Linked DNA regions of Saccharomyces cerevisiae S288C. The gene in region 4 interacts genetically with the main gene of each other region. Each region holds a gene or a part of one and is shown on either strand. Other genes may lie near its edges.

Region 1 (8,455 bases), on a different chromosome or scaffold from region 4:
GACAGCGATGATACTGCAAGAACATCCACAAATTCTTCCTCTGTGACTCAAGTAGCTCCAAACGTCTCCGTACAACCTTCTTTGGTCATTCCTAAGATGGCATCTATCGATTGGTCTTCTGAGGAAGAAGAAGAGGAGCAAGTAAAGGAGAAGCCAAATGAACCGGAGGGAAAACAAACAAGCATGGATGAAAAGAAAGAGGCTAAACCTGCTCTAAACCCCATAGTTACAGATTCTGATCTGCCTGACTCCCAAGTGCTCGCTCGTGATATCACATCAATGGCAAGGACTCCAACAACGACGCATAAAAATTACTGGGACGTTAATGATTCTCCAATTATCAAGGTAGATAAAGATATCGATAACGAAAAGGGTCCCGAACAGTTGAAGAGCCCTGAAGTACAACGGGCTGAGAACAATAACCCTAACTCAGAGATGGAAGACAAGGTTAAAGAACTGACTGATTTAAACAGCGACTTACATTTGCAAATTGAAGATTTGAATGCTAAGTTAGCATCTTTAACCAGCGAGAAGGAAAAGGAGAAGAAGGAAGAGAAGGAGGAAAAAGAAAAGGAAAAGAACTTAAAGATTAACTACACCATTGATGAAAGTTTTCAGAAAGAATTGCTGTCATTAAACTCTCAAATCGGTGAATTATCAATTGAGAATGAAAATTTGAAGCAGAAAATTTCAGAATTCGAACTGCATCAAAAAAAGAATGACAACCATAATGATTTGAAAATCACTGACGGTTTTATTAGCAAGTACTCTTCTGCCGATGGGCTCATTCCAGCTCAATACATCTTAAACGCTAACAACTTGATAATTCAATTTACTACTAGGCTTTCCGCAGTACCCATAGGCGACTCCACGGCAATTTCCCATCAAATTGGCGAAGAGTTATTTCAAATATTATCCCAGTTATCGAACCTAATCTCCCAGCTATTACTATCGGCCGACCTATTACAGTACAAAGATCAGGTCATTTTACTGAAGGCATCATTATCGCATGCGATCACATCGATAAGATATTTCTCTGTTTACGGTCCCGTATTAATTCCGAAAATAACTGTGCAAGCTGCTGTTTCAGAGGTTTGTTTTGCCATGTGTAATCTAATTGATTCAGCGAAAATAAAATCCGATTCAAATGGTGAGAGCACCACCTCTAATGAAGGTAACCGACAGGTATTAGAATATTCTTCACCAACTGCTACCACCCCAATGACGCCAACTTTCCCCTCGACTTCTGGAATAAATATGAAGAAGGGGTTTATAAACCCAAGAAAACCAGCATCTTTCTTGAATGATGTGGAGGAAGAAGAATCTCCAGTCAAGCCATTGAAAATTACACAAAAGGCAATTAACAGTCCGATCATAAGACCGTCATCGTCTAATGGAGTTCCAACAACCTCAAGAAAACCTTCAGGAACGGGGCTATTTAGTTTAATGATTGATTCATCAATTGCTAAGAATAGCTCCCATAAAGAGGATAATGATAAATATGTCTCGCCCATAAAGGCAGTAACATCGGCCTCCAATTCTGCAAGTAGCAATATTTCCGAAATTCCTAAACTAACACTACCTCCACAAGCCAAAATCGGTACTGTTATTCCACCGTCAGAGAATCAAGTTCCCAATATTAAAATCGAGAATACAGAAGAGGATAATAAAAGGAGTGACATAACAAATGAAATCTCTGTTAAACCAACTTCTAGCATTGCTGATAAACTGAAACAATTTGAGCAAAGTTCCGAAAAGAAATCATCACCAAAGGAAAATCCTATAGCAAAAGAAGAAATGGATTCAAAACCAAAACTATCCAATAAATTTATCACTTCAATGAATGATGTGTCCACAGATGATTCAAGCTCTGATGGTAACGAAAATGACGATGCAGACGATGATGATGATTTTACCTATATGGCATTGAAACAAACAATGAAGAGAGAAGGTTCAAAAATTGAAAAAAATAATGACAGCAAACTACCTGCAAATATAGTGGAACTTGATTTACATGAGTCACCGGAGTCCGTGAAGATTGAATCTCCTGAATCGATAAAGGAAATCACGTCATCTGAAATGTCTTCAGAAATGCCAAGTAGTTCGCTGCCTAAGAGATTAGTAGAGGATGTTGAGCCTTCAGAAATGCCAGAGAAGGGCGCATCTGTAGAATCAGTCAGGAAGAAAAATTTTCAAGAACCACTTGGTAATGTCGAATCTCCGGATATGACGCAGAAGGTCAAGTCTTTGGGTATGACAGGAAAGGCTGTAGGCCCAGAATCAGATAGTAGGGTCGAATCTCCGGGCATGACAGGACAGATTAAATCTTTGAATATGGCAGGAAAAGTTGTAGGCCCAGAAGCAGATAGTAGGGTCGAATCTCCGGGCATGAAAGAGCAGATTAAGTCTTTGGGTATGACAGGAAAAATTACAGCTCAAGAATCAATCAAGTCCCCGGAAGCGGCTAGGAAGTTGGCGTCATCAGGAGAAGTTGACAAAATTGAATCTCCAAGAATGGTAAGGGAAAGCGAGTCCTTGGAGGCAGTAGGCAATACTATCCCCTCAAACATGACAGTGAAAATGGAATCCCCAAATTTAAAGGGAAATACTGTGTCTGAACCTCAAGAAATAAGGAGAGACATTGCCTCCTCAGAGCCGATAGAGAATGTTGACCCCCCAAAAGTACTAAAAAAGATTGTCTTTCCAAAGGCTGTTAATAGAACTGGATCACCAAAATCAGTCGAAAAGACTCCATCTTCAGCTACACTGAAAAAGAGCGGGCTCCCAGAACCGAATAGCCAAATTGTTTCTCCTGAATTGGCAAAAAATTCACCTCTAGCACCGATAAAGAAAAATGTCGAGTTACGAGAAACTAATAAACCACATACTGAGACTATCACTTCTGTGGAACCAACAAACAAGGATGCCAATACTTCTTGGAGAGACGCCGACTTAAACCGTACGATCAAACGAGAGGAGGAGGACGAAGATTTTGATAGAGTGAACCACAATATCCAGATCACTGGTGCATATACGAAAACTGGAAAAATTGATTATCATAAAATACCTGTTGATCGTAAAGCAAAAAGCGAAGCAGAAGTGCATACTTCCGAGGAAGATATTGATGAATCAAATAATGTTAATGGAAAAAGAGCTGATGCCCAAATACACATCACTGAAAGAAAGCATGCTTTCGTAAATCCAACTGAAAATTCACAGGTAAAAAAGACGAGCCACTCACCATTTTTAAACAGTAAACCGGTTCAATACGAGAACTCAGAGTCGAACGGCGGCATTAACAACCACATAAAGATAAAAAATACTGGAGAAACTACGGCACATGACGAGAAACATTATAGTGATGATGATGATTCTAGCTATCAATTTGTTCCCATGAAACATGAAGAACAAGAACAAGAACAAAACAGAAGTGAGGAAGAGGAAAGTGAAGATGACGATGAAGAGGAAGAAGACAGTGATTTTGATGTGGATACATTTGACATTGAAAATCCGGATAATACACTATCAGAGTTACTATTGTATTTAGAACATCAAACAATGGACGTCATATCCACGATTCAATCGCTTTTGACATCGATCAAGAAACCACAGGTGACGAAGGGTAATTTGAGGGGAGAATCGAATGCAATCAACCAAGTCATAGGTCAAATGGTGGACGCTACTAGCATATCAATGGAGCAAAGCAGAAATGCCAATTTGAAGAAACACGGTGATTGGGTGGTGCAAAGTCTAAGAGACTGTTCGCGTAGAATGACAATTTTGTGCCAATTAACTGGCGATGGAATACTAGCGAAGGAAAAGAGCGATCAAGATTATGCTGACAAAAACTTCAAACAGCGGTTGGCAGGGATTGCGTTTGATGTTGCCAAATGTACAAAGGAGCTGGTAAAAACTGTAGAAGAGGCAAGTTTGAAGGACGAAATAAATTATTTGAATTCGAAGTTGAAGTAAAGTTAGTAGTATCTAGAGGAGAAAGAAAAGGAAGACAAAGACAATCAATAGAATGTATTATGTATGACATATAATAATAATAATTATAATAATAATAATAATAGTAGTAGCAGTAATAATAATATTATTATAGTATATTAAAACAACAAAAAATTAGTAAAAATACTATAAATGTTTGAATATGAAGATATATATGTAGGAAGAATTTTTATTGAATATAGAAATTTAAAGAAATATTATTAAAAACCGGAAAATGAAAAAGAAGAGTTAAAAAAAAAAAAAACGGAACTAGTAAAAGATGTGAAAAAAAGAAGAGAAAAGTAGAACGAGAACACCCACTATCCTTGGGTATTATTATAAGTTGCAATACCATCATCCAGTATGCCCAGATTAAACCATTCATGGTCCAGAGCGTCCTTTGCGGTAATCCTTTTTGTTGGGTCGAACTCAAACATTTTCCTGAGTAGATCGATGAACCAGTACCAAAACAAGAAAGTTTCCTTATCGAGTTCATCAGTAGTTGAGGAAGAAGAGGAATGTGTTTGTCTTTTCCATGCCAATTTCGAATTTATCAAAGACCAGTTTTTCTCCGGCGGTAGATTCCAATTGATGCTTAAGCTATCGCCGTAATCCTGTTTCAAGACCTTTGAGATGTAAATATCTAAGCGATCACATGACTGCAAGACCCTTTTCATTGACTTTTCGGTGGTTATGGTATCTCCGCGTTTATTTTTTTCAGGCCATTGTAAGCTTAAAGTTTTTCTGTCGAAATGCTTTATCACCGTTGAATTTAGGTCTGATGGAGAGTTGCCCAATTTATGTTTAGATTTGTAAAACATCTTATCAATAATGTCTGTGGGGAAAGGGGTTCCATTGATTCGTTGCATCATAGCCATATGTTCTAGATTTTCATGAATGGGGTAAAGAGATTCGCCAATAACCAGTTCTACTAGGACACACGCGATGGACCAAATGTCGCAGGGGAACGACCAGCCCAAGCCAAGGACAATTTCCGGGGCTCTATAGTGACGAGTGGATATTACAGGAGGATGATATTCGTAATGGAAAATTGCGCTACCGAAATCAATGATTTTGATTTCTGGATTTTTCAAGATTTTGCGCTTCCCCTTACTGGCTTCACGGCGTCTCTTGCTTAGCGACTGTACGGTTTTCAAAGGCAATTTTTGAGCAATATGGGTTTCGTCACAAATCAGGATATTTTCTGGTTTCAAATCCGTGTGTATTATGCCCAAATCGTGCAAGAAGCAGACAGATCTGATTAGCTGTCTGGCAATGGCCTGAATATGAGAGCCGGGGAACCTGGCAATGCCGTTGGAGCACATAAAATCGTAAATGGACCTGCCGTATAGATCTGTCACCAAACAAATGTGATTTTTGTAATCGAAGCACTCCCTTAGCAAGAGGCACTGGAACTGACCTTGAGGGTCATTATTCAGGATAGTCTGTAGAATTCTTAGTTCTGTTTTGGCGGCTTCTCTATATCTATCTACAGCCCTTATCACTTTTACAGCCACGTAATTAGGTTCATACTTGTTATCGATGCATTTAAGTACTTTACCAAACGTGCCTTGGCCCAATAGGTCCTTCACAACAAAGCGGCCGCCACTGCCAAATATGTCGTTTTCCTGGTAAACGTAGTGACCGTCTTTGTCCGTTTTGAAATTTGATTTATTGGATGATGCGCTTTCTGAAGAGCCGTTTGATGTAAATTTCCGTAGTGAAGAACCAATTTGTTTCTTGAGGTTGGATTGAGGCAGGGAAGCTATTTGTGCTGGTGGGTTGGAAAAGGGAGAAGTGCTGTGAGCAATCGTGAGATTCACTGCCTTGTTGCCCTCCAGAGTCTTTGCACACGACCCCGTTAGATGCAACAGCTCATTTTCAGTTTGCGTTACTCTTGGCACGATAGCGTTGGTTTGATCAGGAACATTAAAATAGTTCGATTGGTAGCTCAGCTTCGATAGAGGCAACTGAGGCAGTGAGATGGTTCTTTGCTTCTTGAATTTCTTTGGTGTCGTGATATACGTACTATTGCTTGTAGCTGCGGTACCGCACCCTGGATTATTTGAAGTAACAATATTATTGTTGTTATTGATACTGCTGCTACTAGGCAGAATCAAAGGTGACGAAAACTGAATTGGCTGCTCTTTGATAAAAATGATGTCATCGTCAGCATCCTCGTCCACTCGACTACTGTTATGATTATTACTGTTATTGATTGTGGTGTTAATGATACGCGGCTCCTCGTCTAGTTCTATGGCATTTTCATTGTCCAAGAACAACTGGTGTTGGTGTTGCCGAGGACGGAGCGGATTGTCTGCTTGATTCAGGTCTAGACTGTTCCTCAGATTGTCTGTTAGAAAAGAATTTTGCCGAGCAAACATCTCGTCCAGCAGCTTGTTTGTGCGCGTTTCTTCGAAATTATCCAAAAAGGTCTTGTTAGAGCTTGTATTGTTAGCAGGGCCCGTAGTAGTGGAATTATTCATATTTGCTCTTGAACGTTTTCTAGTGCCAATTTGAATATTCTGTGACATAACTAAGGTACGCGGAAGATAAAGCAATAATGAAGAAGAGCAGTATGCGTGTAGATTAGTCTTTGTTGTGCTAAATCTTCGACTTGGTAAATACTATGTTTCTTTCACTCTTTTTCTGTCTCCCACTTTGTTTCCTTTTTCTTTTTCTTTTTTTTTTTTGGGTTTGCTTGCTATCTGGCGCAGTATTTCGTGAATATAATATCTATTTAGTTAGCGTAAGCACGAGGAGTTACTGCACTGTTTCCTTTCACTTGGTGGTGAGGTAACAATACTTTGTAAATCCGGTAGATCTGGGAAGTAAATACTAAACTTTATTCTAATATAGGAACTTCATAATATAAAATCCAACGCACGATGCTAGAGATAAAAAAAGAGGGTGGGAGATGTGGAGCCAGGATTCAAATCGAAAATCGTAATCGGAAACTAAACCAGCATTGCAACCGGGCCATAAGCCATATCGTTAAGCACGCCAAAGCTTTTTCCCTTCGCTGTGTGTTTCCTCGCAACTTTAACTCCGGCCACTCACTAAGCCAAGGCGTGAGGAGAGAGACTAAAGCTTTGTGGAAAACCGCCCAATCACGCTGACCCCTTTGGCCCGTTTGCCGCCCCCTAGAAAAAAAAGAAACGGACGGGCCTGGGCCCGCACAGCCTCGAGCAGGGTCACTTCGCGCCATATCGGCGGCTATTTCAAAAAAAGAAGTTCTTTACCAGTTGTTGTAGAAAGTATGATATTACCAACAGCGTCTAGCTTTTATTCGATATTCCGATGTGGGCGGCTATTTATTATCGGTGGCGTCTTTTATGGTTTTACCGTTGTTGCCTGGAGCATCCTCAGGAAGACCTAAATGTGACCATTCATCGTAGTCCATCAATTGGTGGTCCATCCTGCACCGCAGGTAGTCCTTTGCCAGTAGTCTACAATTCATTGCATTTTCGTTCTGCACAAGCTGCATACATTTGAGATACTCTTGCATGTACTTGGTGCATTCGCCGTCGTGGTCTAGCGGGAACGAACCTCTCTCGGGTGGAGTAGGTCTCAATGCGCTCAGCGAGCTTCCTGGGTTCCCTGACATTGGATTCTTGTGTTATGTTTCGTAAAAGATACTTTGTGTGTAGTGGGTGCGTTTGCTTGTTTTCTTGAAGTATAGAAGAAGGAAAGAACGGAAGAAAAAATTTTTTTCCCTCTTGTTCGCTTTATTTGGATTTTCTCGTTTCTCAACTCCGCGAATTTGAGCCCTTTTCTTAGACCCCGGAGAGAAGATGCAGAGATGTAGTAATAAAAGCTTTTTATCCAAAAAGCTTTTAAGCTGTTGTTTTAAAAAAGGTTAAATGGGCGCTTTAGAGATCGGGTAGTGGGCAAAGCCTGCGATAAGAAAAGAGGGAGCGTGCTACTTGACCGGGAGCAGCAAAATGGGCGGCCCGAGCCTTAGATCATACTCATCGCCGATAAGAGTCAGCTTGGTAATAGAACCGCTGGTGCGTAAATGAGGCATAGAACTTATTATCGTCTTAAAAAACTGCCCAAAAAAATATTTTCCAGGTTTCTTGAAGAGTAATCTTGTTATGTAATTTTTTTTTGCCTGTGGATTGTATAAGGGACCAGAGGCGGTCAAAAACGCAAAAAGCGGCATGGTAGGCGAAAATACTAGGACGATTACTACTCAACTGACGCGTCAACTTAATATTGTCCTGGTACATAACCGAACCATCCCAGATGCGCTGTAAGTACTGTTTAAATGTATTTTAATATGTGCATAGAGCGTGTAAATTATGGCGAGCTATGGTTTCCGAATTGTCGGACTGCTCATAGCCCTTGCTTTCGGAATATTAGAAGTGGTCTGGCGGTAAAGAAAGTGTGACATATGTCAGACGTTGAGACTTATATGTGTAAAGCTAAATATAATAATTCAGTTAAAATAAAAGTGGGTGAC
Region 2 (7,755 bases), on a different chromosome or scaffold from region 4:
ATAGTGGGGATGCTCGGTGCTGCTTATGTATTAGAAGCAATTGCAAAGGATAACATTATTCCTGGTTTGGAGATTTTTGCTCATTCACCGTTATATTCATTGATTTTTACTTGGATTCTAACACAGCTATGTTTGTTTTCAGACGTCAATAAAATCGCCACATTTATCACAATGACATTCTTAATGACGTTTGTGGTCATGAATTTGGCGTGCTTCCTATTAGGTATTTCCTCTGCTCCCAATTTCAGGCCCTCTTTCAAATACTTTAACAGGTATACTACAGCAATTGGCGCATTACTTTCTGTTGTTGCGATGTTAATAGTTGATGGCATCTCAGCGTCTGTCTTGTTTTTGGCTATGATTTTGCTATTTTTATTCATTCATTATTTTTCACCACCGAAGTCTTGGGGTGATGTGTCTCAAAGTTTAATATATCATCAAGTGAGAAAGTATTTGCTTCGCCTACGTCAAGACAATATTAAATACTGGAGGCCTCAAATATTGCTGTTTGTAGATAATCCAAGGACGAGCTGGAACTTAATAAGGTTTTGCAATCATTTGAAAAAAGGTGGTTTGTATATTTTAGGCCATGTTGCAGTAACTGCGGATTTTCCGAAGCAACTAAATGAATTAAAAACTCAGCAGAAAGCTTGGATGAAGATCAGAGACATGGCAGCAATAAAGGCTTTTGTCCAAGTTGGGACTGGTCCCTCCCTTATATGGGGAATTAGGAATGTTTTTATTGGTTCCGGGCTTGGAGGTATGAAACCAAACATTACTGTTGTCGGTTTTTTTGACCTCGAAAGTTATAGAAAGCACATCCCACAAAGTCGCAGCCAAAATAACCTTCAGAAACAGGTGGAAATAAAAGCTACAGTGCCACGTAGTACATGCTCTGATGTCAAAATCAATGTTCCATTGCCTACGGATGAGTGTAAAAATGAAACCAAAGTTAATGTACAACAATGGGTTCAAATTGTAGAAGATCTATCACTGATGCAATCCAATATTGCCATAGCGCATGGATTCAAAAATTTAGAGATACCGAACAAAAGGGACAGCTGCTTTCCAAAAAAAACTATAGATCTTTATCCCATCCAAATGTGCGGAAAAGTTGAGGCAAAGGGTGACCAGCCTGCGGCTATCACTACTAACTTTGATACGTATACACTGATTCTACAATTAGCTGCCATTTTGGTTACTGTTCCTGAATGGAAGCGCACACATTCGCTTCGAGTTATTTTATTTGTGGAACAAGAATATCATAGAACGAACGAAACTCAACGAATGAAAAAGCTATTACAGGTTCTAAGAATTGACGCAGAGGTTTTGGTAGTATCTTTAGATCAATTCAGAGTATACAACACAATTGTCAAGGGAGACCCAATCGTGTTTGATTATGTCAACTCGAAATTGGCCGATAATGAATGGTGGAAAGATTTGGTTGAAGCTCGTGATACATTAAAACCGAAGCGGAGGTTTTCCACTATTGAACCTCAAACGATAGCAAAGCAATTTACACAATCAAGAAAATATACGTCTGGGGTTCAGAAATTGGGTGTCTCATTTACAATGAATACGAGAATGCCAACTAACCGCATTGATACCCCATGCGAGAGTGAGGACTCCGATTTGGATACAGATCTTACGTCAATTCGTGATGCCTTCTCGGCATCGACTAATATTTCAGTAGGTAAGGACTTAACGACCAAATCGAAGACCGGTTCCGACAGAACAAATTTACTCGTAAAGAATTTACAAAGCGATGTGTCAACACAGTCGTTAAGACCCGTTTTCTCGAGTAATACTTTGCCGAGGACGAGAGTCGTGGAAGATGGCACGGGTGAACAGCCGACACTGATCCCAATTGCCGAACCTGACCTTTCGAATGGGAACGGTACTGGGAGCGGTATTGGCAACGGCAACAAATTAAAGAAACCGGTTCTTCCCGAATTATCACCTTGTTGTTCAAAAGATAGTTTAGTCACAGCGATGCAAAATTTAGGTTTCAATGATCTTCCCAGCACTGCTCAACATTTGGTTCTGAATGATGTGATGACACAAATGTCAAAGAGTTCGGATTTAATTTTTTCAACCTTGCCAGTTCCAGCTCTTGGAACACATGAAGATCACGATGCAAGTTTACAATATGTCGAGGACTTGGATATTTGGTTGGAGGGCTTACCTCCATGCATGTTAATCAATTCGCAAACCATGACAGTAACTACTGCATTATAGAATAACACATATATCGTTATGCATTTCCCCAGAACTTATTTACTACATATAGAAGTCTTGTAATACGGCCGAAATACAGATGCTTTATAGTAGGGTTATTGTTTCTATTCATTTTTATTTCAGTTGGGCTTTACGCTTTCCGGTTCGATATACTGTTTTACCTTACGGAATGCAAACATGGTATAGAAATATGATGCCGCTTCCTTTTCATCCCCTTCAACACCATATCTACCATCAGATCTTTGTAAACCTTCCCTCATTTTAGGCGAAAACCTCTCAATCCATTTGGGAATTTCTTGGACAAAAAATTTATTAAAAGGCATTTGCGATACTAGTTCCAAACCGTATTCATCAGCCAAACTTCTTAAGGTTTCGAATGGCACAACATATTCAGGAACATTATCTATAGCATCTTCTAGCCAATAAGTATACATTTGACCATAAGGCGATGTGAACTCATAATCATTCTTTTGGTATGAATTATTCTCAAATGTCACTTTATAAATGGAGTTTCCCCAAGATGGCTTTTCCACTTCTTTGGGAAATTTATTCAGTTTATAACGAATGAATTCTGAATCTGGTATCGTGCCAAAAAAGTGACCACCAATTTTGAGTGATTTGGCGACATTCAGTAAAGCTCTCCTTGCTTTTTCTTCGGTCTCAAAAGCATAATGCAAGCAAAATTGCGTCGAAACGATATCACACGGAAATCTACAGTCTGGGAAGGGCTCTACTGCAACACCTAATGATTCGCCAAAGCAATCCCCAGTAATTAGCACAACTTGGTAGTCCAAATTTCTCATGGACCGGTATCTCTTATGAGCTTCTTGGATAGAGGCATTGGAAATGTCAATACCAATAAACTGTGAAATACCTGCAGCACCATATTTTCTTAAATCACCACCTTTGCCACATCCGAGTTCTAAAACGACATCTCCAGGTTTTGTATATTTGTCAATTAACATATACTTAATCGCATTGTTAAAATTACGAAGCTTAATAATAGGCGATAGATTCCTCTTAGCGCGATTGGCGATTATTGTACGTTCATTATAGTGCTCTCGGACAATCTGGTCAACATTTATGGATCTATTTGCAGTCATCTCTATTTCATGTCTCTTTAGTTGCTCTTCTCTCAATTTTTGAGCACGCTGTTTGCGTAATCTTTCCTCTTGATCATACCTTTCATGTCTTCTCTTTTGGATTTTAAACCCGGATTCTGCCTCAATGGGTAGATCAGACACCTTAGAAGTAAGGATAGAGCTGCTTTGCAAAACTGGTAATGATCCATTACCATCACCAGGCGCATTGGCAGTAACTTTGGAGTCTTTTTTTGAGACTGTGGACGATTCATCACCAGTAATTGAGCCGTACTGACGGTCATAGTCTTCTTGTGACATCCATATTGGCTTCTCTGGTTTGGTTGACATTCTACTTTTCTAAGACGGATAATGGACGACTCCACGTTGTAGTAGTTGTCACATTAATCGGAAAAGTGTCTCACATGTAAAGGATTAAAATAAGAAATCTTCTAATTTATGTTGAAATATCTTGATTTACCATTACCCGGATTAGATGAAACTAATTAAAGTCATTTAGAGCAATGGACCAAACTAAAGGTATTAGAGTTCTTTCTAATATAATACAGCGCCAAATAATTCGAGAAGGGAAATCATAACGCTGTTGCCTTGGGTTTATTTGAGGTATGGAAACTATTGATTCGAAGCAAAATATTAATAGGGAGTCTTTATTGGAGGAAAGGAGGAAAAAACTAGCAAAATGGAAACAAAAAAAAGCACAATTTGATGCTCAGAAAGAGCATCAAACTTCACGCAATGACATTGTTACTAACAGTTTAGAAGGTAAGCAGACTACTGAAAAGTTTACGGAAAGACAGGAACGTGTAAAAGAAGAGCTTCGGAAGAGAAAAAATGAATTTAGGAAATCTGACGAACCTGTATCGGTTAAGCCTTCGAAGAAAAAGTCGAAGAGAAGTAAGGTAAAGAAGAAAATATCCTTCGACTTCAGTGATGACGATGATTCTGAAATAGGAGTTTCTTTTAGATCGAAGGAGCACATTCAAAAAGCTCCAGAGCATGATAATGAAAAAGATCCACTGGATGAGTTTATGACGTCATTGAAGGAGGAGAAAATGAGTAATAGTAAAGGCATGTACGACAGAGGCGACATTCTTGATGTAGAGGATCAATTGTTTGAACTTGGAGGAACCGACGATGAGGATGTTGAAGATAATACGGATAATTCTAATATAGCGAAAATTGCTAAACTCAAAGCAAAAAAACGTGTAAAGCAAATTTATTACTCTCCAGAAGAGCTTGAGCCGTTCCAAAAAAATTTTTATATAGAATCTGAAACAGTTTCCTCGATGTCAGAGATGGAAGTTGAGGAGCTTAGACTTAGTCTGGATAATATCAAAATAAAGGGAACAGGTTGCCCCAAACCAGTCACAAAGTGGTCTCAACTGGGACTATCAACGGACACCATGGTTTTAATTACAGAAAAGTTGCACTTTGGCTCCTTAACGCCTATTCAATCCCAGGCTCTTCCCGCTATTATGTCAGGTCGTGATGTTATAGGAATATCAAAAACTGGCTCCGGCAAGACCATCTCCTATCTTTTACCATTGCTAAGACAAGTAAAAGCTCAACGGCCATTATCAAAACATGAAACAGGGCCCATGGGTTTAATTCTGGCTCCAACTAGAGAGCTAGCTTTACAAATACATGAAGAAGTTACTAAATTCACAGAAGCAGATACATCCATTAGATCAGTATGCTGTACAGGAGGTTCTGAAATGAAAAAGCAGATTACTGATCTTAAAAGAGGCACTGAGATTGTTGTTGCCACACCGGGACGATTTATTGATATATTAACACTAAATGATGGGAAATTACTTAGTACTAAAAGAATAACGTTCGTAGTAATGGATGAGGCAGACAGGCTGTTCGATTTAGGTTTTGAACCTCAAATAACGCAAATCATGAAAACTGTTCGACCGGATAAACAGTGTGTTCTATTTAGTGCAACTTTTCCGAACAAACTACGCAGTTTTGCCGTAAGAGTTTTGCATTCCCCAATATCTATTACGATTAATTCAAAGGGAATGGTTAATGAAAACGTAAAACAAAAGTTTAGAATATGCCATTCAGAAGATGAAAAATTTGACAATCTGGTGCAGCTTATCCATGAGCGCAGTGAATTTTTTGACGAGGTTCAAAGTGAAAATGACGGACAGTCAAGCGATGTTGAAGAAGTTGATGCTAAAGCCATTATATTTGTATCAAGTCAGAATATTTGCGACTTCATTTCAAAAAAGCTGTTAAATGCTGGAATTGTGACCTGTGCTATTCATGCAGGTAAGCCATATCAAGAAAGGCTTATGAACTTAGAAAAGTTCAAACGAGAAAAGAACAGTATTCTTCTCTGTACAGAGGTTCTCTCAAGAGGTTTAAATGTTCCCGAAGTGTCGTTGGTTATTATCTATAACGCCGTCAAAACTTTCGCGCAATATGTTCATACTACTGGAAGAACTGCCAGAGGTAGTCGCTCCGGTACTGCTATTACTCTTCTATTGCATGATGAACTGTCAGGTGCTTATATCTTGAGCAAGGCAATGCGCGATGAAGAAATAAAAGCTTTAGACCCTCTGCAAGCAAAAGAACTTCAGGAAATGAGTGCCAAGTTTGAATCCGGTATGAAAAAGGGTAAGTTTAGGTTGTCGAAAGGGTTCGGCGGCAAAGGACTGGAAAATATCAAAAGTAAAAGAGAGGAAGCTCAAAATAAAGATTTGGAGCTCAAAAAGAATGATAAGAGGAGCGATGACTTGGAAAAGAAAATCAGCAATCCACGCGAAGGGCATGACAGTGTGTCTGAGTCTTCTGCGCTTATTCCGAGACTCAATTATGAACTATTCAAAGAGTCTACAGACGGGTCGATCATCTTTTACGCCAAGGTTTATATTAATGATTTACCCCAGATTGTAAGATGGGAGGCTACAAAGAATACAACCTTATTATTTATCAAGCATGAAACCGGATGTAGTATTACTAACAAGGGTAAATTTTACCCTGAAGGGAAGGAACCAAAGAATGAAAACGATGAGCCTAAACTATACTTATTGATCGAAGGCCAAGATGAGAAAGACATACAATTAAGTATAGAATTGCTGGAGCAAAAAGTTAAAGAGGGGGTCGTAAAGGCTGCAAGCTTGTCTTTGAAGAGTACTAAATACTAGTTTTTAGAATTTAACTCACTCGTGGTGCTATATACTTTCGTAGTTAGTTCTGAAATTTTTAGGGTGGTAATTTAAAGCATATTCAATCATAATAAAAAAAAAAAAAGAGAATTATTAGGAAAAATAAAAACAAAATAATATATAATATATGATGTAGAAAAAAATCTTGAAATTTTTATCGATTCGAATAAAATGGAATTTAAAAAAGTGGGAAAGAAACAATGAGAATTCATAGGATATAATGAAAGGTAAATGCTTTAAAAAAAAATTAAGAGGGGAAAATAAAAGTAGAAAAGCAAATAAAAACAAAACATGGAATAAAAGTAACTTCAAAAAAATTTATCAAGAAAATGGTAGGCTTGAAGAATATAATAATAGTTTTTTAGTTGATTTGAGATGTGATATGACAAATAAAAAATAATGAAATAACGATAAAAATAAGGAAGGGAAAAACTGACAATCGAATAATAATATTAATAATGGTAAGTTTATCACATCAATTCATAGGGAATATAAATTTGAAATTGTTACTCTTCTTTCTTTTTTTGTTCTGTAGAGAAAGAAGGTGAAAAGTGAAGGATATTAACTTTAAACACACGTTGGCTTCAAATTATGTAATTCAGGAATAGGAATATCGTTAACGATTAAAGTTTGGAATTGGTTCAAAACTTCTTGCAAAACGGAATATTTGACAGCGGTCCCTGTTGTTAATCTGGCTAGTTGTCTGGAATCACGGCAATATGGAGAGTAACGTTTAACAATTTTCAAATACAAAACCATTCTGCCGTCAACTGGTATGGAAGAAGAAGCAGCCTCCGCAGCAAATTCATCAAATGCACCAGAAGCAGTTGCTGCTTGCAATGCTGGATGAGAGTAGAAGTCCATTGGATTTTGAGGATTGTTGAACAAATGCTCTGGTGCTGGAGTATCCATTGGAGTTAAGGATGGCGAAGGAGTTGCGGTTCTGCTTATTTGAGTGCTGTTCATGTTACTTTTCTTGGAATCTCTATCATTTTGGGTCCATGTTACAGTAGCATCTCTTAAGGCCGCCCAATCTGCGTTGGCAATAAATCTTTGACCAATTTCATCTGATTTGCGGATTAAATCCATCCATCTTTGGAGAATTTCTGCATTCGAAGCATCATCGACAGATCCCATAGACTTTAATAAGATTCTATAAGCGACTATTGTTTTTGGAATGTGGTACGCCTCGTAACTCTTATCGATGTATTCTAAAATACTGCGGTCATGCCAGACAGTGC
Region 3 (7,785 bases), on a different chromosome or scaffold from region 4:
ATCCAACTTTTAGATAGCCTCCCAAAAGATCTACATCCAATGGCGCAATTTTCTATTGCCGTGACTGCTTTAGAAAGCGAGTCTAAGTTTGCCAAAGCATATGCTCAAGGTGTATCCAAGAAAGAATATTGGAGCTATACATTTGAAGATTCGTTAGATCTGCTGGGTAAATTACCTGTTATTGCTTCCAAAATTTATCGTAATGTGTTCAAGGATGGTAAAATTACTTCAACCGATCCTAATGCTGACTATGGTAAAAATTTGGCCCAACTTTTGGGCTACGAAAACAAGGATTTTATTGACTTAATGAGACTATATTTAACTATTCATTCTGATCATGAAGGTGGTAACGTTTCTGCCCATACTACACATTTAGTGGGTTCTGCCTTATCTTCGCCATACTTATCTTTGGCCGCTGGTTTGAATGGTTTAGCTGGCCCATTACATGGTCGTGCCAATCAAGAAGTTTTAGAATGGCTATTTAAATTGAGAGAAGAAGTGAAAGGTGACTATTCAAAAGAAACAATTGAAAAGTACTTGTGGGATACTTTGAACGCAGGGAGAGTTGTTCCTGGTTATGGCCATGCGGTTTTGAGAAAAACTGATCCTCGTTATACGGCTCAACGTGAATTCGCATTGAAACATTTCCCAGATTACGAGTTATTTAAGTTGGTCTCCACCATTTATGAAGTTGCCCCAGGGGTTTTAACTAAGCATGGTAAAACTAAGAACCCATGGCCAAATGTTGATTCACATTCCGGTGTTTTATTGCAATACTATGGTCTAACTGAGGCTTCGTTCTACACTGTATTGTTTGGTGTTGCCAGAGCTATTGGTGTGTTACCCCAATTAATCATCGATAGGGCTGTTGGTGCTCCAATCGAAAGGCCAAAATCATTCTCCACCGAAAAATACAAGGAGTTGGTAAAGAAAATCGAAAGTAAGAACTAAGGAAAATTTGATTTTTGATTCAGGGTATGCGACTATTCAAACACGTATTTTCATATACGAATGAGTAGTTTATAATTTATATAAATATATATTACATAAGGAAATGGCTATGACTTCATGATTTTTACGCTTTGAGTCCCCTATGCCTACCGGTTATGTTATATACTTGGCAAATGATATCAATGAATAGAAAACAAAATGCTCTTAAATTCCTGCAAAGCGCTTTCAAATCGAATTGTGGTGGGCTGGCGCGCTGATTTAGCAGTAAAATCTAGCCTGTAGTCGATATACTACGTCAAGGTGTAACTAACGTTTATATGTATATGAACCTGCAGAAGAAGCAAAATGACAAGGTTAATGCATCTTTATCTGTCCTAGAGTAGAAGATACACTAAAAAGTTGATAAAGCGAATATAATATGGTCATGTGAAAAAAGCAATCTCATAAAATTTTCTCTTTTTCCTTTTTTTCTTCTGTTCTTACCTCAAGATAAATGTCACTTTTATACTAATTAAAAGCAGTGTTTTATATTTCTACCAGCAAGGTTTTGAGTTTAATCACATAAAACTAGGAGCAGGGTAGCATAAACCTGCTGTCTAATCCGTATTCATTCTTATCAGTCCAGCGCCGTTTGGGGCACTTTTAGTAAACAGTAACTTATACCACATTAATATAATTTCTTAGTTCGGCATTTTTTTGCTAGGCGCCTAAACGCAGATATCCTTAAATACCAAATTTGAACGTTATTTTACTTTTCGGAAGACAAATACATAAATAAATTTTAACATTAATATATAAAAAAATAATAAAAAAATGTATATTTTTTAAAATGTTTTAAAATATTTTTAAAAAGCTGCACGTGACTAACTAGAACCATTTCACAACAACTCAATTAATTGCGGCTTCACATCTACTTGCTTATAGGGAAGAAGTAAAGAGAATAATCCGATTTATTATAGGGTTGCAAATTTTATGTGTACATTACTTTTTTCTTACATAGTAAATCTACTCCTCACCATCGTCTTCATCAAGATCGGGGAGCGGGTATTTTAGAATACAGGCTATACCCGTCAATTGATCAAGTTCTTCTCCAAGAGAATGCAAAGTACTTAATACCAATGCTTTTCCTCCATTGCTCTCTACGGAGTCCATCAGTTTCAAATATTCCTCTCTTTGTGCAATATTGTCTGAATGCAAAACTTTATCTGTTAACAGTAAATAACTAATTGCGCCATACTCAGCCGCTTTAACTACCTCTTTTTCACCATACCAAGCTTTATCATCATCCTTGTTTAAATGCAACAAAAATTCATCCATCACCATGATTTCTTTGGAGTATTTAGTATCTTGCAGCTTTGAAGCATATAGTGGATTTTTCAAAACTTCATTAATGCCCTGTAAGTAGCCCGTGGAGCAGTGGGCTATAAAGAACATTCCTTTGTTATCGAGTATTTTCTTATTGTGTTCCTCTTCGGCATACTGGAAAATTTTGTCCATTAATATCTTAGCGTAGAAACCTGGAGAGCAAAGAATAATAGTCTTTAATTTATCAAAATTCAAATCTTTCTTCATTGCACTGTAAATTGCTTTATAAAATTTCTCAGTTTTTTCATCAAACTTCAGTACATCAGTAGTCCTTTTCTTTTTTGGCATACTATATTCAATTTTTTGTTTTAAAATAGTAGAGGAGGATGTCACTAAACAAACATGGGCGATCCCTTCCTGTAAAACGACCGCCGCGGTGTCTGATTTATACTCGATATTACAGGCTTCATTTAAGAGCTTTTGCATGAATTTATTAAAGTTTTGTTTTATGATAGTAAAGGGATACACGTAGTCAAGGGTAAAGCTCAAATATTTGCCGACAGGTATGTCAACATTACTAGCTCCACTTTCATCTGTAACAGTAACACCTTTATATTTCAAATATTCATCCTTCATATCAAAATCCTCGGATATTACTTTAATCTTCAACTTGACCAAATCTGTACTTTTTTTCTTACCAGCTTCATCAAGTTTAGAGGTGAATTTTTTCTTGAATATCAACTCGTCATCTTTGTCTACTATTTGATAAACAGTAAACAGATCTTCCTTGTCCTCCGGTAAAAGAGTAATCACTGCTCCTCCTTTGTTAAAAGAATCCTTTTTCAGACTAATAACCTTCATATTTTTGCTATGATAGGAATGCGATAATTGAACAAAATGACAACGATGCAGCAACGAATGCTTAATTTTTTGGGATCTTCATTAAATTACATTTTACATTAATATACAAAACTAGGTGAATATTGAATAATGTATGTACACTTTCATCACGCAGTACGGATTTTTGGTAAAAAGAAAATTTTTTTCAGCTCTGCTTAAAAAAAGCTGGGAAGCGATGAGATGAGAAAAGTCTAAGTTGTTTGGTACTTTCGTTATTAAGTTCCTAGAAAGAAGAGGCTGCCACAGGGAAAAAGAATAAGATATACAAGTCACAATGTCTTCAACTCAAGACAGTAAAGCGCAAACTCTTAATTCTAATCCAGAAATTCTTTTGAGGAAAAGAAGAAATGCTGATAGAACTAGAATCGAAAGACAAGAATTAGCTAAGAAAAAGAGGGAAGAACAAATCAAAAAAAAGAGAAGTAATAAGAACAAATTTGTCAGAGCTGAAAGTATAGTTGCAAAGACTTTGGCTACCTCTAGGGAAAAGGAAAGAATTAAAAGAGTGTCTATATTAGAAGATAAGAAGGCAAAGAATGAAACGCAGCATATTGCATCTGGGAAAGATTTTATTCTGAAAATAACAGAAAAAGCTAATGGCGCCGAAGAGAACTCTGTCGACTTGGAGGAGACTGAAGAAGAAGAAGACGATGGTTTAATCAGAGAAAAGACTACTTACGATGGCAAACCTGCTTTACTTTTCATTGTCAGAGTAAGAGGTCCGCTTGCTGTAAATATTCCAAACAAAGCATTTAAGATTTTGTCTTTGCTAAGATTAGTTGAAACTAATACTGGTGTTTTCGTCAAATTGACCAAAAACGTATATCCGTTGCTCAAGGTTATTGCGCCATACGTAGTGATTGGCAAGCCTTCTTTATCTTCTATCCGTTCCTTGATTCAAAAGAGAGGTAGAATAATCTATAAGGGTGAGAATGAGGCTGAACCTCACGAAATAGTTCTTAATGACAACAATATTGTCGAGGAGCAATTAGGAGATCATGGAATAATTTGTGTTGAAGATATTATTCATGAGATTGCCACTATGGGTGAGTCTTTTTCTGTTTGTAACTTCTTCTTACAACCATTCAAGTTGAATAGAGAAGTATCTGGATTTGGTTCTTTGAATAGGCTAAGGAAAATAAAACAGCGGGAGGCTGAATCAAGAACTCGTCAATTTTCAAATGCAGCTACAGCACCAGTTATCGAAGTTGACATTGACTCTTTATTAGCCAAGTTGAATTAATTAAGAGAGTATTTTAAAATTGTATAGTACATAGGTTGTTAGTTATCTAATGCCATTGAAGGAGCAGATATTGAGCTTTTGCATATAATTAGTGGTGCCTCATGGATTGAAGAATATACGTATTTTGGCAAGTTTATTGGTTTTTAGTTTATGTATCGGCAAAAGCACGGGCGCCTCTTTTTTTCCTCGCTTACTGAGCGCTGTTTTGTATATAAATACATTTGCAGTGGGGTGCACCCTCGAGAATATATGAGATCATTAAAGCTCCACTTGTTGTAAATTGTTTGGCGATTTTATATGTTTAGACACACCGATGAACTAAAATTCGCTTTGAAAAGTTTGCTATGAATACTTTTTTTCTTTCCTTGCTAAGTGGCGCCGCTGCTGGTACCTCTACGGATTTGGTTTTTTTCCCTATAGACACAATTAAAACCAGGCTTCAAGCTAAGGGTGGATTCTTTGCTAATGGAGGATACAAAGGCATATATCGTGGTTTGGGAAGCGCTGTTGTAGCATCGGCGCCAGGTGCTTCACTTTTCTTTATTAGTTATGATTATATGAAAGTAAAATCAAGGCCATATATCAGCAAACTTTACTCACAGGGATCTGAGCAATTGATTGATACGACAACGCACATGCTTTCCTCTTCCATTGGTGAAATTTGTGCTTGTCTTGTTCGAGTTCCCGCAGAAGTCGTTAAGCAAAGGACGCAAGTTCACTCTACCAATTCTTCCTGGCAGACTTTACAGTCAATTCTACGAAATGACAATAAGGAAGGTTTAAGGAAAAATCTTTATAGAGGGTGGTCTACCACCATTATGAGAGAAATACCGTTTACTTGTATACAGTTTCCTTTATACGAGTATCTAAAAAAGACTTGGGCAAAAGCCAATGGCCAAAGTCAAGTGGAGCCATGGAAAGGGGCTATCTGCGGTTCTATTGCGGGTGGGATCGCAGCAGCTACAACGACACCATTAGATTTCTTGAAAACCAGATTAATGCTCAACAAAACAACCGCCTCACTTGGAAGCGTTATTATTAGGATTTACAGAGAGGAAGGTCCTGCTGTATTTTTCAGTGGAGTGGGGCCCCGGACAATGTGGATCAGTGCAGGTGGTGCTATCTTCCTAGGCATGTATGAAACTGTTCATTCGTTATTATCGAAAAGTTTCCCAACGGCTGGAGAAATGAGAGCGTAATGAAAACATAGAGCAAAAGCAACTACCAGTTGTAAGAGGTAGATCGTTTACGTACTTTACGTAAGCCTTCTGAGGCCTCTTGTCTGTTGTTTATTTTTTGTTATTCATATAAAAAAGTCGTCTATTTACGATATCTGTTCAAAGTACTTTTTTGGATATTTGTTAAACCCATTTTCACTGTATTGGAAAAATCAGACTCTTTTCACAGTCTTCTTCAAAGTCTTCGAAATTTTTTCAGATTATACGTATACACAATGACATTATAAAGTTAAAAAGCCTGGAAATAAGTCAAGAATGAATAAATACTTGTCGCAGATCCAATAGGTGAGAAAGTATATAGATCGAGAGTAGTTCTAGAGGCGTTTAGCGTACGATATATCCAAATCACAACCCCCATAGTTATAATTATTCAATCTTTCAATACAAACATCTGCATCATCGACGTTATCGTATTCAACGACAGCTATTCCAGTTGGTGCCCCTTTGGAATCATACCTTAATTCAGCATTGTTAACCTTTCCGATTGTCTCGAAAAGGTCGTAAAGATCACTTTTTGCAGTTGAAAATGGCAAATTACTGCAATATATGAGTCTATTTCTTTCACCTCCACCGACAACGTTTTCGGTAAATTTTCGAGCTTCTTCGTTAACGGGAGAATCATCCATTGGGATATCAACATCGTCTCCATCACTGTGGTTATGTACGCTTTCCTTAGACTTGACATCCAAGACGTTACCCTCTATACTATAACCGTTGTATTTCTCAATCGCTCTATGCAGATCTTTAATATCATAAAAGGACACCGTACCAGATCCAGTGGATACTCCATCGCCATCCAATTCCACATCAGCGTGTGCGACATTCCCACATTCCTTGAATATGTCTTTCAAAGCCTGCCAATTAACGGAAGCAGGTAAATTTTTTACAATAACTTCATGTGTTTTTCGGTTATGTCTAAGCTCTCCTCTATCGAGTGCTTTCCTTTCCTTGATATTGTTTGACGGTGGTGGATTATCTTGCCTGACGAAGATTTTACGATCCATGAAGAAGGCCCCATCGTACTGGCGGATGGCCCTGTCAACATCATCCGAATTAGTGAACTCTACTGTACCCATACCTCTGTGGTGCCCTCTTGATGTAATTATATCCGCGCGGACTACTTTTCCTATCTGTGAAAAAAACTCAGTGAGATCTTCGGGGGTGCTGTCATATGTTAAATTACCCACGAATATACTATTGGAATAGTTTCTATTGACCTTTTCTTCGTATGTACTATCCAATTCACGTGCCAACAAAGGACCGTAATCACCTCTTGCTCCACTACTACCAAAACCGCCTCTCCTACTGTCATCACGTGTATTGTGTCTACTCCTAAAGCTTCTAGGATAGTCATCACGTCTGTTCCCATAACGACCAGTCACATCTCTTCCTCTGCGCCTATCATCGTAACGGTCTCTAGATCTAGGATTATCTCTGTTATTGAACCTTTCTCTTTCTCTGTAATCAGACCTTTCTCTACCTCCTCTATATTCTCCTCTATCTCTGCTTCCTCTGTACGTATCTGCGAACTTACGCCTACCGTTATAATTACCTGACCTCCGGGACAAATGGTTGTCTCTTTCATAACCATGATCATCACTCATCCGACGACGAACAGGTGATCTCGACCTCGATCTACTTCGATTATTCTACAACAATGAATAACATTAGTAAAAGTAACTAAATTTCATAATGAGAGAGACCAATAAGTCATTGCGTTTCAAAGTTGGAATAAACTGTACATTATAGCATGGCAGGTAGAAAATCAGGGTTTTATTTATAATTGATATTCTCACTTTCATAGCCAGTAGATAAACATTAGCAATGCATTCAAAAAACCCCCTTTAACCAGTGGAATCACATTGAAGCAAGCGTTTTGAAGGCAGCATTAAATGGTGACTCACCATTCGTTGATGTCTATTTAATTCCAATGACCTCATAAAGTCTCATTTTACAAACTTTTCTTCACCTCCCTTATCAATGAAACATACGTTTTCTGAACCTCGTTCTTGATCAGACATATCCTGTTAACTTAATATTTGGCGTTCTATCTGCTCATTCAAACTGTTTTCGAACTCATGAGCAAACATAATTATGAAATTTTTCAGCCAGTACTCTACTTTTTCATTTCCCTCGCTAAACAAAGAG
Region 4 (7,526 bases):
AATAGCGTGGGGTATCTCGTTTCTCATCTGGCATGACTATTACCCTTTGGAAGGGATTGGGAATTATCCTTCATATAATATCAAAATGGCATCCGAAAACATGAAAAGTGTATTGCTACTGGATATCATTCCGCTGGTTGTCGTCGCTTCAAGTTGTGGAACATTCACAATGTCAGAAATATTCTTCCATGCGTTTAATAGAAACATTCAACTGATAACGTTGGTCATATGTGCCTTAACGTGGCTGCATGCCATTATCTTCGTCTTCATACTGATTGCGATATACTTCTGGAGTCTTTATATTAATAAGATACCACCAATGACACAGGTTTTCACCTTATTCCTGCTTTTGGGCCCGATGGGCCAAGGAAGTTTTGGAGTCTTATTGCTTACAGATAATATAAAAAAATATGCGGGCAAATATTACCCAACAGATAACATTACAAGAGAACAAGAGATATTGACTATTGCAGTTCCATGGTGTTTCAAAATTCTAGGCATGGTTTCTGCTATGGCATTGCTCGCTATGGGCTATTTTTTCACCGTGATTTCTGTCGTTTCAATCCTGTCGTACTACAATAAAAAAGAGATTGAAAACGAGACAGGAAAAGTGAAGAGAGTTTATACCTTCCACAAAGGTTTTTGGGGGATGACTTTCCCGATGGGTACTATGTCTTTAGGAAACGAAGAGTTATATGTGCAGTATAACCAGTACGTTCCCTTATATGCATTTAGAGTCCTAGGAACCATATACGGCGGTGTTTGCGTTTGTTGGTCAATTCTATGCCTTTTATGCACATTGCATGAGTATTCTAAAAAGATGCTGCATGCTGCCCGTAAATCTTCATTATTTTCAGAGTCAGGTACGGAAAAGACGACAGTTTCTCCGTATAACAGCATTGAAAGCGTGGAAGAATCAAACTCGGCTCTAGATTTTACGCGTTTAGCATAAAATTGTTGGTTTTATACGTACATAATTGGCAAGCATTTCATGTAGGAGTCTCAATAGATAGTTTAATTCATTTGCACGGCGCTTTGCTGCTTTTGCTTCTTCACGTTGGTTTTCACTATGCCTGATATTTTTTGACGTCACTTAGTAAGCACGACCCTTGTCAATTTTTCGAGGATTTCGGAGCTTTCCATTTGGAATCTACTATTAAAATCAGTCTAAAAAAGTATAAGAAACACTTCTGGTTTTTCTCATGCGCTTCTCACTCTCAGTATATTTTGCTGCTTTCCTTCATATGTATATATATCTATTTACATATTAGTTTACAGAACTTTATGCTTTCTGCAACCAAACAAACATTTAGAAGTCTACAGATAAGAACTATGTCCACGAACACCAAGCATTACGATTACCTCGTCATCGGGGGTGGCTCAGGGGGTGTTGCTTCCGCAAGAAGAGCTGCATCTTATGGTGCGAAGACATTACTAGTTGAAGCTAAGGCTCTTGGTGGTACCTGTGTTAACGTGGGTTGTGTTCCGAAGAAAGTCATGTGGTATGCTTCTGACCTCGCTACTAGAGTATCCCATGCAAATGAATATGGATTATATCAGAATCTTCCATTAGATAAAGAGCATTTGACTTTTAATTGGCCAGAATTTAAGCAGAAAAGGGATGCTTATGTCCATAGGTTGAACGGTATATACCAGAAGAATTTAGAAAAAGAAAAAGTGGATGTTGTATTTGGATGGGCTAGATTCAATAAGGACGGTAATGTTGAAGTTCAGAAAAGGGATAATACTACTGAAGTTTACTCCGCTAACCATATTTTAGTTGCGACCGGTGGAAAGGCTATTTTCCCCGAAAACATTCCAGGTTTCGAATTAGGTACTGATTCTGATGGGTTCTTTAGATTGGAAGAACAACCTAAGAAAGTTGTTGTTGTTGGCGCTGGTTATATTGGTATTGAGCTAGCAGGTGTGTTCCATGGGCTGGGATCCGAAACGCACTTGGTAATTAGAGGTGAAACTGTCTTGAGAAAATTTGATGAATGCATCCAGAACACTATTACTGACCATTACGTAAAGGAAGGCATCAACGTTCATAAACTATCCAAAATTGTTAAGGTGGAGAAAAATGTAGAAACTGACAAACTGAAAATACATATGAATGACTCAAAGTCCATCGATGACGTTGACGAATTAATTTGGACAATTGGACGTAAATCCCATCTAGGTATGGGTTCAGAAAATGTAGGTATAAAGCTGAACTCTCATGACCAAATAATTGCTGATGAATATCAGAACACCAATGTTCCAAACATTTATTCTCTAGGTGACGTTGTTGGAAAAGTTGAATTGACACCTGTCGCTATTGCAGCGGGCAGAAAGCTGTCTAATAGACTGTTTGGTCCAGAGAAATTCCGTAATGACAAACTAGATTACGAGAACGTCCCCAGCGTAATTTTCTCACATCCTGAAGCCGGTTCCATTGGTATTTCTGAGAAGGAAGCCATTGAAAAGTACGGTAAGGAGAATATAAAGGTCTACAATTCCAAATTTACCGCCATGTACTATGCTATGTTGAGTGAGAAATCACCCACAAGATATAAAATTGTTTGTGCGGGACCAAATGAAAAGGTTGTCGGTCTGCACATTGTTGGTGATTCCTCTGCAGAAATCTTGCAAGGGTTCGGTGTTGCTATAAAGATGGGTGCCACTAAGGCTGATTTCGATAATTGTGTTGCTATTCATCCGACTAGCGCAGAAGAATTGGTTACTATGAGATGAAGCAACGAAACTAGACGTCCAATCTGCTGTTGCTATACTGGACTTTTGTACTCTTGTAAACAATCTTATATAGCATCCTGAAATACGTAGTAATTTTGTCATTTCTGTTCAAGGACAAGGGTTCCTTTTTTTTTCAGACTATTAGCTACTGTGGACTCGCTTGGATATTCAGTTGAGGATACATTCCGACTCTCGTTTACAATACATATGATTATTTTTCTTTTTGTTAATTATATAAAAAATAAAGTTATTTGATTTTAAGCTTAAAAATACACAAAATACAGAATAAGAAAGGAGTTTTTGAACAAAAGAATTTATCTTTTACTGCTTTCTAACTTTAAGCCTTCAAAGAAGAAGCTCTTCTCTTTCTGATTTCAGCCTTCTCAGCCTTTCTTTCAGACAATCTCTTAGCCAACAATTGAGCGTATTCGGCAGCAGCTTCTCTTTGAGCTTGAGCGTTTCTGACCTTCAAAGCTCTTTGGTGTCTCTTTCTTTGCAATCTTTGAGGAGTAACCAATCTTTGGATCTTTGGAGCCTTGGTGTAAGTCTTTTCACCCTTGGTGACTTCTCTTCTGATGACGAAATCACGAACGTCATCTTCCTTGGACAAACCGAAGAACTTTCTGATGTTGTTAGCTCTCTTTGGACCCAATCTCTTTGGAACAGTAGTGTCAGTTAGACCTTCCAATTCTTGCTCACCCTTCTTGACAATGACCAAAGCCAAGACAGCCAAATCTGGACCAACAATGGCACCTCTGACGGACTTTCTCTTTCTTTCACCATCACGTCTTGGTCTGTAACAAGAAACGTTCTTGGTCAACAACAACTTGATTCTAGTTGGCAACAAAACACCTTGCTTCATTGGGAAACCTTGTTTGTCGTTACCACCAGAGATCTTGAAGACGTAACCCTTGAATTCGTCACCAACGGCTTCACCATCGACTTCTTGACCGATTCTCTTGTCGAAGAAAACACGAATACGGTGTTCATCATCAATTTCGAAGGTCTTTTGAGACCCGTTAACTGGGTAAGAAATGTTCAACTATTTTAAATTTTCAACAGGTTATTAAGAAAATTTGTTAGTATACTATTGCAAAATTAATGTTTGAATAGGGTGAAGTTTATTACTCTAGAGAAATTATTAAGTGGAAGATGAAAAAGCTTGTCTTTTATTGACTATACTCCAAGTATATGAACTGCTTCAATTTCACGGTTTGTAGTAACAGTATATGTAAACCCGCTCTGTTTGTTTAAAAATAACGCCACAAACGCATCAATTAGTATATGGTAGTCTTCCTGCTTCTTTCCATAAAAAATTTCTAAAATCTTTACGACGTCTGGTTCTGTTTAGTTCTTTCTCACTTTCAAACTTTCATGCCATTTTTCCACATATAAAGTTCTCTGTTGCCCCTCAATAATAGTATCATAAATCATACCTTCATGATGTATAGTCTGTCTTCACTCTTTTGTCACTTCTCTTAAGCAAATATAAAAATTCAATGACGAATAAGCATTAACCACTTTATCCTTGGTAACACTGTATATGAAATTTCAAAGAAACTGCAGCATCATGATGTTCCTAGACGTCGGTACTGGAATTCCCACCCAGTAGACTTACCTAGGTAGCGGCATTCCTCCAACGCTTACCAGGAGAGATAACTTTCCCGCTAGAATCGATAGAGGAGCGTGGAATTACGCCAATCTTCCAAGTGGGAACGGGCAGAGTGTCCAGTGGCTTCCTGCCTACAGAATGCACGGCCCCAGTGGGATTGGTGCAATCGCGCACGTTCCAACTTTCCGATGCTCCGGCGCGTCGATGACAATTTTACACATGAAAAACGAACTATGTAAAAATAGTTGAAATGTATGGGTTCAATGAGAACTCGAATGTACGGATGTTTTCTCTGAATGAACCTCTTGTCTTCTTCCGGCTTCTGCTTACATCAAACTCCAGGCCAGGCGGCAATTCATTTTAGTTGCTAATGCACAAAAGAGTACTTAAATACTATCATTATTCAGAAAATGCAATTGAGTTTTTCGTTTTTCTTCCTTGTTTGGGTTATTCACTACGTAAATATGTGCATTTACAATAATATAAATATAAATTTTTTAAATGAAAAGAAGTTTCTTATGCTTGGAATATTCATACTGGTCAAATTTTTTGGTTTATATTTTGCTTGAATTTTTTTCTCCTGAAATATCAGTCGAAAAATTAAAGAATTTAGTGCCTAGTGGTGTTTGAGCAGTATTTATGTATGGAGTCAGCCCGGTATTTCCATTATATGCGGTGGCAGCAGCATCATATGTACTTGAGTTGGACTGATTGTTCGAGTCACCATCGGTAGTATGTTCTGAAATAGCAGCTCCATTTACGGGTGCATCTTCATTATTACTATAGTAACTGTTATTGCTATTGTTACTGTTATTGTCGTTGCCGTTGTTGCTGTTGTTGTTGCTGCTGTTGTTGTTGTTATTGTTGTTGTTGTTGTTAGTGTTGTTAGTGCTGCTGATATTGCTGGAGTTGCCGTTGTTTACGGCCGTCTGTACGGGAGGGAAAGTACCAGGATTGTTTGTGTTTCCCGGCTTGGCACTGTTGGGTCCCATTGACCAGTCTGGAAACATCGATATAGAAGAAACATTTGGAGAATTACTCATCAAATCATGTACGAACTTCGATGGCAGTGAACCAGTTGGAGGGCCATTGCTGGTTTCAGGGCCGGAAAAAGTTGAAGGGGGGCGTCCGGTTAATGTTGTAGTTAATGGTACTGTTTGGCTCTGTTTTTTGAAAGACATTTGTTGGTATTGCTGGGTTTGTCTTTGAGCTAAAAAAGATGTATTTTGTTGGAAAGGTCCGCCAGGAATATTCGATGGTTGCAAGGGAGTGGCAATGTATGGCTGTGTTGCAGAAAAAAGAGGTGAAGACCCACTTCCGAAAGGATAAGGGTGATTGTTATTGTTACTGCCATTACCATTGTTAGAACCGTTAGGCGCATTTGCATTTGGCAATTTTATTACCATTCTGCCATTATTACCTTTTTGGAGAGTTAAGGGGCCTGAGGCAGATGCGGATAGTGGAGAAATTTTGCTAGACCTACTTGTTTTGTTTTCTTTCATTATCTGCGAAGAGCCCATACTATTGCCGTTGGCCGATGTGGAGGAGGCAGAGGAGGGTTCACTTGGAATAGCGGAATTACTGCTGAAATTGTTGTTCGGAATTCTCACACGAAGTACCGGTCTGGCGGACAATTTCCTTCTTGCTTTGACAGTCTGCTGAATAGAGTCTTCCAAAGAATTAGATGGTGACTGAGTGTAGTTGCTGTTGTCATTATTATTGCTGCCACTATTGTTAATTTTGTGCTCCTGTTTAGGGGTCCTTGAGGATGCATTTGTAAATGGCTTACTGAACTTGTTCGGTGAAATGGAAATGGGTGGAGGACGACCATTAAAGGAAGAGTTTTGAAAGCTTGGTAATTTTGGAAAATCCATCGTGGAAGGAGAAGATGAACTGGATGAAGGCTGGTTAAGATTGTACATGCTACTATGGTATGGTCTCGATATATTTTGCTGCTGTTGCTGTTGCGGAGTTCTACTTATTTGCAAAGGATCCGGTTTCAATCTTTTCAAATGTTGTAAAGGCGGCAGCGCGTTCTCAGGATGACGTTTATTTTGCTCACTACCATCCATCTTTGAAATGAGTGCGGTCGGGGATAACAACTTCATGTGTGCACTCGGTATATTTTTATCAGAGGCTTTTTTATTCGAATGCATATTTGAATTCCTCTCAAAATTGCCATGATCATCGTCGTCCTCATCATTGTTCTCATCATCATCATTTTCTGACTGGTTCATTCCTTTAACATTTGATTTCGAAGGCTTATTTGACATAGACGACCTGAGTAGGTCTTGATTTATGTTAACGGATGCACTTTTGTGAAAGTCTCCATAATCGGAAGGATCTTTCACTTCGTGAAGCAAGTTTTTGTCATTTTGGTAGTGATAGATTAAATCATTCGTATCCACAGAGGAAAACTCATAGAACGTGTTATTGGACCCCAGTATAATGACGGCTATGTCTACTTGACAAAGAACGGATAGTTCATGGGCCTTCTTAAAAAGGCCAGCTTTACGTTTTATAAACGTGACAGCCCTATTTCTGTCATCAGAAATTCTCTGGATTTCAATCTTCCGTCTACCCATGTTGTATCTATAGTATAGTTTTGCGACACTTTAATATTTAAGTTTTTTTCACGCTTCAGCCTGTTTGCTCCGGGGGATATTAACCTCACAACGTGATAGAAACCTTGAAAAAAAAAAAGAATAATTCTGCTTGCCAGCTTTCAATTACTTTAACGAGTCAAAAGTTGAGTTGGCTATCAGGAGTAGGCAGTTCTAATTGAATCAGTCGTTGAACACTTTAGAACAGGCTCGCTTCTTTCTTACGTTTCTTTTTGTCTGTCCTTTAATTATTATTGTTCAGAGGAAGATCGAGCTGTTTCTATTATTAGCTTTCATCTCTTCCGTTTTATTTTTATCAGAAATCTGAAGTAAATTTTTTTCTTTCTTTCTGCGGCTTGGCATTCATCACCCGGTGATGCTGCGCCGTTAAGAGAGCCCAATAATGATAAGACGATTTCTGCATTTAATATACGACTGAGACAGACTTCGTCACCGTGGAAGTATTTTTTGCGAACGTGGAAGTATTTCACCCACGTATGGCAGGCAAGAACGCATTTTCAATAACGTTATTTCCACGGAAAAATGTGATTAGTGTAGTAGGTTAGGAACGGGAG

Evidence for each region.
Region 1: mutations in RPS6A (region 4) and KNS1 impair growth when combined (synthetic growth defect), as found in Saccharomyces cerevisiae (2 studies listed by BioGRID, with this or other methods).
Region 2: mutations in RPS6A (region 4) and ABD1 together harm fitness less than expected from each alone (positive genetic interaction), as found in Saccharomyces cerevisiae (2 studies listed by BioGRID).
Region 3: mutations in RPS6A (region 4) and DOM34 together harm fitness more than expected from each alone (negative genetic interaction), as found in Saccharomyces cerevisiae (3 studies listed by BioGRID, with this or other methods).

Annotation. Positions count from the first base shown.
Region 1 is NC_001144.5:101,376-109,830, forward strand, and holds KNS1 (serine/threonine protein kinase KNS1), read right to left. Parts: upstream 6,525-8,455; coding exon 4,311-6,524; downstream 1-4,310. Other genes in the region: SPA2 (Spa2p), read left to right, coding at 1-3,972; COX19 (Cox19p), read right to left, coding at 7,301-7,597. UniProt on the Saccharomyces cerevisiae protein: Nonessential protein kinase.
Region 2 is NC_001134.8:688,026-695,780, forward strand, and holds ABD1 (mRNA (guanine-N7)-methyltransferase), read right to left. Parts: upstream 3,669-7,755; coding exon 2,358-3,668; downstream 1-2,357. Other genes in the region: VHC1 (Vhc1p), read left to right, coding at 1-2,238; DEAD-box RNA helicase PRP5, read left to right, coding at 3,944-6,493; YBR238C (uncharacterized protein), read right to left, coding at 7,082-7,755. UniProt on the Saccharomyces cerevisiae protein: Responsible for methylating the 5'-cap structure of mRNAs.
Region 3 is NC_001146.8:622,788-630,572, reverse strand, and holds DOM34 (ribosome dissociation factor DOM34), read right to left. Parts: upstream 3,118-7,785; coding exon 1,957-3,117; downstream 1-1,956. Other genes in the region: citrate (Si)-synthase CIT1, read left to right, coding at 1-951; RLP7 (Rlp7p), read left to right, coding at 3,431-4,399; PET8 (Pet8p), read left to right, coding at 4,744-5,598; HRB1 (mRNA-binding protein), read right to left, coding at 5,952-7,286, 7,629-7,658. UniProt on the Saccharomyces cerevisiae protein: Component of the Dom34-Hbs1 complex, a complex that recognizes stalled ribosomes and triggers the No-Go Decay (NGD) pathway.
Region 4 is NC_001148.4:374,218-381,743, forward strand, and holds RPS6A (40S ribosomal protein eS6 RPS6A), read right to left. Parts: upstream 4,179-7,526; coding exon 4,173-4,178; intron 3,779-4,172; coding exon 3,074-3,778; downstream 1-3,073. Other genes in the region: SSU1 (Ssu1p), read left to right, coding at 1-952; glutathione-disulfide reductase GLR1, read left to right, coding at 1,285-2,736; RLM1 (Rlm1p), read right to left, coding at 4,903-6,933.